Ovis aries: one gene and its partner. The protein of the gene in region 2 purifies or fractionates together with the protein of the main gene of each other region. This does not show direct contact. Links are inferred from orthologs where the notes say so. Each region holds a gene or a part of one and is shown on either strand. Other genes may lie near its edges. The genes, in order: CILK1 and KATNIP.

Evidence for each region.
Region 1: the proteins of KATNIP (region 2) and CILK1 purify together in Homo sapiens (affinity purification with mass spectrometry; 3 studies listed by BioGRID and IntAct, with this or other methods). This does not show direct contact. The link is inferred for Ovis aries from reciprocal best matches to the Homo sapiens genes KATNIP and CILK1.

The regions. Positions count from the first base shown.
Region 1 is NC_056073.1:24,905,854-24,909,667, forward strand, and holds part of CILK1 (serine/threonine-protein kinase ICK), read right to left. Parts: intron 3,219-3,814; coding exon 2,907-3,218; intron 1,838-2,906; coding exon 1,647-1,837; intron 1,535-1,646; coding exon 1,386-1,534; intron 1-1,385.
Region 2 is NC_056077.1:25,834,689-25,838,502, reverse strand, and holds part of KATNIP (katanin-interacting protein), read right to left. Parts: intron 2,514-3,814; coding exon 2,403-2,513; intron 1,608-2,402; coding exon 1,468-1,607; intron 1-1,467. UniProt on the Homo sapiens protein: May influence the stability of microtubules (MT), possibly through interaction with the MT-severing katanin complex.

The DNA of each region.
Region 1 (3,814 bases), on a different chromosome or scaffold from region 2:
CCCTGGGACTCCACCCCCTCAACCTGAGCACCACTGCCCGCATCTGGATGACAGTGACAACCTGTGGGTCCCTCGCCCACACAGCACATAGACGTTGCTAACACCGTGTCACTCCTCCAATTACAACCATACAAGAGCGTCCTGTTGCTCATGAAATAAGATCCAAATTTCTTACAAGACCCCAAAGATGCCTCCTATGTCCTAACACATCCTCCACCTCTGACAGTGATCGGGCCATGCGGCCTCTCACGAGCCCAGCCCTTTCCTGCCCCCTGGCCTTTGCACTGGCTGCTCCCTCCGCCAGGCATGCTGTTCTCACATCCCTCTGCACATGGAGTTCCCTGCTAATCTCTGGGGCCCAGCTCCTGCCACCATTACATCACCCTTAACAACCGCTGTCACCACCTGCAACTACTGCGTACCCACTTATTCAGGGTCTGTCTCCCACCACTAGAATATATGAGGATGAGGATACTGTCTACAGGTTGCTGGCTAAAGTCACTGCATAGACTGTGATGTGAACAGAGACCCTGGAAAATGGGCAACCCAGTGGCCCCAGTTGGCTGTTTTGTCCACCATATTCTCAGCGCCTGGCACAAAATGATGTCAATACAGATTGACTGATGGAATGAATCTGTGAATGAACAGTGGGCTAATGCTATATGTTTAGAATACAGAGAACCTGGAGAGATGCTTGGGCACTCTCCAACTAGAGTGTCTTCACTTAACCCCTGTGGTACATTAAGCCAGATGGGGGCGCTAAGCTCCCATCTGGTTTCCTGAGAGCACTCAGGGCTGGAGAGACCCCAGGCGAGCTGCCTGGCTCTCCCTGGTTCCTCACTCACTCGGACTGGACCCCATTTCCTCTACCAAATTTCTTATCTTAGGCAAGAAAAGAATGGGAAGCCTGGGACTTCCCTGGCGGTCTAGTGGTTAGGACTCTGAGTTTCCACTGCAGAGGACACGGATTCCATCCCTGGTCAGGGAACTAAGATCCCACATGCAGCGAGGTGCAGCCAAAAAGAAAAAGAAAATATAAAGCCTGTGTGTACTAAGTGGCTTCAGTTGTGTCCATCTCTTTGTGGCCCTATGGACTATAGCCTGCCAGGCCCCTCTGTCCATGGGGTCCTCCAGGCCTGAATACTGAAGCCAGGTTGACTGTGCCCTCCTCCAGGGGATCTTTTCCATTCCAGGGATCGAACCCGTGTCTCTTACATCTCCTGCACTGGCAAGCGGATTCTTTACTACTAGCACCACCGGGGAAGCCCAGCAAATATTTCTATGGTGGTGCCACCACCGTCCAAAACAGAAGCTTTGCAAAACTCGAGATTCCGGGGACACGATTTCTCATCAGGGACCAGAGCACGGGCAGGAAGTGTTATTACCAGGCAGGTACCGAGAGTGCTTCAGGTAGTGTTGCTTGGCCGCCGACCTCAGGGTGGGCGTGTCGCGCCGGGGATAGGACGTCTGGGTGGGGGCGCTGTTTCCGGTGCCCACAGGCTCCGAGGGCTTCAGGTCCAGAATGCTCTCAAATCTGAACGGGGAGAAGAAGGTTCTGGTCAGCACAAGCTGGGCAGCGCATGGGATGTGAAGACAACCTCACAAACCCAGAGACAGTCAGTGCGCAGATGGGAGCCCACGCTTGCCTGCACAGCGTCTCGTCGCTCTGTCTCTTCTTATTTTTCAGGTCAATCCTGGTGAAGGATGGACTGAAGTCCGAGTCATCCAAGTCAGCCCAGTCATCGGAATCCTTCGTTGACCTGGAAACGAGACCCCACCTTCTCCTACTCTTTGGCTTGATCTCACCATTTTTGTGCTCCAGGCCAGTGAGAATTTTCTGTGTATACAAGGGGGTGGGGAGGTGGGGAGGAGAAGCGATACTTGGCATTAGTGAAGCTCACCCATGAGTAAGCCCCATTGTGAACTTCCTCGGTTGTGTAGAGGAGGGTCCTGGGGTGTAGTCTTCCCCAATATGCACTGCTTATTGGAAAAGGCAATGGTGTAAAACAGTCCCTGACCTCTCTCACTTATCCTGCACAGGTTACATCAGTTTCCATTCAATGGGGACACTAGGCTGTGTAAGTAACGCTTTAAAAAAGGACATTTAGGGTACTTCTTGCATACGAGGAAGGTAGCTGGATTCTCATCCAGGGCTCATCTCTGAAAGAGTTAGCATGATTGACACTGTCCTAAATAGAATATAAGAGAATGTAACTAAAGTGTCAATCACCTGCTCTTTTATAGAAAACAATGCAATTAATACCTTATTTGCCTTCTCAGCAGACCTGGATCCTATTTCACTACCGAATTAGCTACAATAGGAAATTTATAAACACACATTGCTGTTTTAGGTGGGTTGGGGTCAAGTGGACAGTCTGGAGACACCACCCCCATAATTCACAAGCAGAGCTAGAACCTGAATTTAGACCCTTAACTACAAAGCCAAGGCTCTTTCCACAGTTCCATGATATCAAAAAGACCAACCTATTATAATTAGACCTTACATGCTAAAAAGAAAATACTGCATGCAAGAAGTATGGTCAGGGCCTTCCCTGGGAGCTCGATGATGAAGAATCCGCCTGCCAATGCAGGCGACGTGGGTTGGGTCTCTGATCTGGGAAGATCCCACATGCCACAGAGCAGCTAAGCCGTGCGCCACAACTACTGAGCCTGAGCTCTAGAGCCTGGGAGCTGCAACTACTGAGCCGATGTGCCTAGAGACTGTGCTCTGCCAGAGAAGCGACTGCAGTGAGAAGCCCATGCGCGGCAACTAGAGAAAAGCCCACCCAAGCAGTGAAGACCCAGTACAGTCAAAATGAATCAACAAAATTATTAAAAGAAGAAGAAGAAGTGGGGTCAGCAAAGGAATAGCCAGACAGGGCTCCTGAGGGAACTGTCTTGCTTACTGCCTGAGGATGCTTGGGGTGGAGTGACGGCAAGAGCAAAGGGCTGGGCTTGTCCTCTGGTAGGTGGTCCGTCCTGGGAGCCTCGGCTTTATAGGGGTACACGAGATGCTGAGGGGGCTGGCTGGCTTGATGCTGTCTGGAAGAAATGCGTGTGTGGGGCTTGGCTGGGGGCTGGGCAGGAGGGACCGGCTTTATGTGAGGCGGTGCAGCTGCCTTTTCCAGAACGTCCTTCTGAGATTTTCCTGACTCCTGGAGGCTTTGCACGGTGCTGCCCAGGGGGTGCCCCACCTGGAAGTAAGGATATCGAAGAGCCTGGAATGACACATGAGGCTGTTTCAGAAGAATAATCTGACTGGGAAGGTTGACACCATTCAGGGTCACAGGCTAGCTTTCGCATTAACCAGTCTGCTGCAGTAGTTTGCCCAAACCAACTAGAAAACAGCATCCTGAATCTGTCACACCCCTTGCGATTCTCCTTGTCCTAAATAGTGTAAAATGTATGGACTGGCTGCCACACTCAAAATTATCTGGGTAAAGCAGCCAGGTTCACTGCTATGCCCTCTGCTACTTCTGCCAATATTCTGGCTTTGTAACTTATTTGCTCTGTGTCTTAAATACAATATTTCACCATTATAAGTCCATTTCTTCATTCCATAGAAAGAAGATAAATAAGATGGAGAGAGCCAACATAATGTTCCAAGAGGACTCTGAAAAATCAAATATAAAATAAGAAAATACAGCAGACAACAAAGGTTTGCTGTGTATCACAGGGAACTGTCTCCAGTATCTTGTAACAACCTGTCACGGAAAAGAATTGAGAAAAAAAATATGCAAAACTATCACTTTGCTGTATACCTGAAATTAACACAATACTGTAAATCAGCTATACTTTAATAAAAATAAAAATA
Region 2 (3,814 bases):
GGCCCCCCACCCCGCCCCCCCGGAGCAATCAGCACAGCCTTGACCCCTGTTTGTCCTTTCCCCGAATCACAAATGAAAAGCATCCCTGACTGGCCAGGAAGGCGGTGCTGGTTAATTTCAGCAGAGATCTTTGAACCTCTGGTGTGGGGTAGTGGGGGCAGGAGGGGGGCGGTGTTCCAATCAGTGGCAAAAATCAGCTAGTAAAGTGGGACCCAAGAGCCCCCCACCAGCTCCCCACCCCCAACATAGACTCTCAAATATTAGTGGGGGAGCCCTTGCAAGATAGGATAAAGCAAATAGAATTCACTGTTGGCCATAGGCTGCAGGCTTAGCTTTGACCCAGGCCCAGGGTTTCAGCCCCAAGAGGATGTAGTGGGGTACGGGAAAGGTCAGCCTTCTCTGCTTGTACCATGGAAACTATTTAGATGAGGAGCCTCCAAGTGAGTGCCCATGGGACTCAACTGGATACAAATATTTGAGTCCAGCTGAGAGAGGGACAGACAGGGAGATTGCCCCACACCCAGAGGTCTTCGTGTGAAAGAATGGCAAATGCTTGAAGGTCAAGGTCAAGATGGCCGAAGGCTAGACTGGCTAGGGGCCACCAGTTTGCAGCCCCAGGTGTGAAGGCTGATAGATCTATGCATTTCCCGTCTGCAGTGGTGGGGCTGGGCCGGAGGGGTCAGCCTCTGCTCAAGGGAATCTGACGGAATATCGCAGGGGTGCTGCCCCTTCCTGGGAGGATTTTGAGAGGAGAATGTATCCCTTGTCTTCCTTCCAGGGGTCACAGGGGTGGGCACCCCAGCCCCTGCTTCACATCTACCTAGGCATCTGGGCCCGTGGCTGACAGGCTGGGGGGCTGCGATCCGCCCCATCCCATCCCGAGTGGTCCCTCACCTCCCTTGCTACCGCCATCGGCCAGGCCCAGATGAGCAAAGGCCCACCCCCAGGTTTGCTTTGGAGCAAAAAGATGGGTGGGACCACTTGTAGAGTCTGTGATCTGGGAGACTGAGTTGGTGGGTTGGAAGAGCTTACCAGGCAGGTCTGAGGACAGAGAGAGGGCAAAGTAGGGATCACGTACCCGGTGACACAAAGAAGGAGCAGAAATCAGGAATGTGGAGAGGCTGGGGCTGGAGGGAAGAGCAGAGCGAAGCAGAGAGGAAAGAGAACTGGAGAGGGAGGCTCACAGGGACCCACACCCCCAGGCCTGCTGTGCTGGGCTCCTGGCCTCAGAGGCCCACTTGATAATCAGCACCCCCAGAGCAAAGGGAAAGACCTCTGGCTGGGAAGATGTGTTAGCAAACACCTGAGCCTTCCTGGCAGCCCCCGGGCATTCTGACTTGTTTCAAGGTTAACTTGGCCTGGAAGGAAGATGTGTTGCTGAGACTGGGGACAGAAAGTGCCACACACACCACCCCCCTTCCAGCCCCACCCCCATCCACCCCAGGGCTGGGAGCCTCTGGAACCCACCAGGCCAGGCAGGATGGGGGCCAGCCACATGTGTCTGCCGTCGCTGGTGTTGTTCACTTGGTCGATGAGCTTGTCAGGGGTCCGGACGTCCCCACACACGCCCTCCAGGGAGTTGACGCTGTCGGGGAAGGCGGCGATATCTGAGGATGCCTCTAAGCTGTCATAACCCAAAGCAGTGTGTTCGGCCCCGGGCACTGTGGGCCCCTCTTGCGGCCGCCAGCCCCCATCACGCGGATGGCGTGGCCTGGCAGGGGATGCCGGGTTGGGCTGAGCCGCTGTCTGCTGCTCGGGGCGGCTGGAGGAGTGTCAGCCAAATTAGACATGTTCTGGGGGAAAAGGAAGGTGAGGAGGCTGAGGGGAGTGGGGGTGAGAGTGGAGGGGTGGCCAGTTTCAAGGAAAGGAGAGGGAAGTATGCAGAGGGCAGGCTGGAAAACACGGGTTAGGTGGAAAGGGGTTGCTGCCGCTTTGGTGCGCTTCCCTAGCGGCTCAGCTGGTAAAGAATCTGCCTGCAGTGCAGGAGACCTGGGTTCAATCCCTAGGCTGGGAAGATCCCCCTGCAGAAGGGAGAGGCTACCCACCCCAATATTTACAGGCTTCCCTGGCGGCTCAGCTGGTCAGGAATCCGCCTGTAAAGTGGGAGACCTGGGTTCGATCCCTGAGTTGGGAAGATCCCCTGGAGGAGGGCATGGCAACCCACTCCAGTGTTCTCGCCTGGAGAATTCCATGGACAGAGGAGCCGGGCAGGCTACAGCCCATGGGGTCACAAAGAATCAGCACGACTGACGTGACTGAGCAGCGACAGCCGTGGCATTTTTTCCAGGTCTGGTTCCTTCAGGGACACTTCCCTCTACATTCAAGGATTCTGCTCCTTCCTCCGGACCCTCCCGTGCTCCCTGCAGTCTGGCTGGGGCCCCCCTTCTGCCTAGAAAGGATACTGTTCTCTGACAGAGGGATTTTTTCTCCCCTTTCATCATATAGCTCCAGGCCGGTAAGACCGATGTAATAGGGGTCACCCCAGCTGGTCAGGAGCTGAAACTGGAAAATGACTGGAACATGTTATTAAGGAAAAAACAGACGTAATTTTCTGGAGAACAGAGGGAAATAATTACAAAGATAACAGGGATATATATATGTGTGTGTGTGTGTGTGTGTGTGTGTATATGTGTATATATATATAGAGAGAGAGGTTTATAGAGATGAACGAGAGAAAAAAATGATTTTTCCCCCTCCGAGACTGAAGTCTATCAAAATGTATGTGGCATGAAATTTTCTTTCATTTAAACAGCAATATGAATGTGTGTATGTGTGTTTGAAGAATTCAGAAGCTTTCTCCAGGCCCTGGGAGACAGGGCAACGGGCAGGGAGGGTGACCTTCAGGGAGCTGGCAGGATGGAGAAGCATCTGTCACAAACTCAGTGTAGAGGACTGAACAGTGACCAGACCTCAAAAACCCCCTCCTGCCTCAGTTTCCCTGGTTGTAAAATGACAAGAACAGAGTACCTGTTCCCTCCTCCACCCATTTCAAGTGTGGAGGGCATGAACGGCAAGGCAGGTTGTGGGAGAGCCACAGCTTCGTGGGGATGGGCTGTGCCAGGGTGACCCCCTCCTGCTGCTGACTGCATCCCATGTGCCAGCCCTTCCGCAGCCCTGCCCTCCACTGGCTCCCAGCATCCCCAGGAGCAGGCAGGCCGAGGAGCCTGAGAAGTGGGAGGGTGATCCCGAGGGGGTTAAGTCAGAGGTGGTCCTGCCCGGAGAACAGGCAAGTGAGAGTGCCAGGCTGGCTGTGCTCACTAGACCTGACTCTGCTTCTTCCCAGCTGTGTGAGCCAGCAAATTACTTAACCATTCTGTGCCTCAGTGTTCTCTGCTGTGAAATGGGGGTGCTAGCAGTGCCCACCTCACAGGGCTAACACAGAGGGTTCACACAGGTGACCCACTGCCAACACTGCCAGGTGGCAGGAGGGGTCCAGCACGTTTGAGCTATGACTCCTTCCCTTTTCACCTCCTCCCCACCTGGTTCCAAGGAGAGCCCCCAGCCCCATCCCCAGGTGGGTTCCCACCGACAGTCCTTGGTGCTGCCTTCTGAACCTCAGTCCAGCAGGGGGGTGGGGTCTAGAACTCGTGTTGCCCCCCAGTCCCAGAAGCACCAGTCTCCCTGAGGACCTGGGAGCCTGCCTAACCTCTCCGCAGTTTCCCTGCATGGGCTCCGCTGCCTCTGCTGAGGCCTGGCTGAGACCCAGTGCCGCAGCTAAAGCCCAGAACCCGCCCCAGGGCCGGCAAGGAGATACAAGGGCCTGGCCCTCTCCCTGGGTTCTGGGTGTGGTCCCGAGGGCCTGCCATGTGCGACG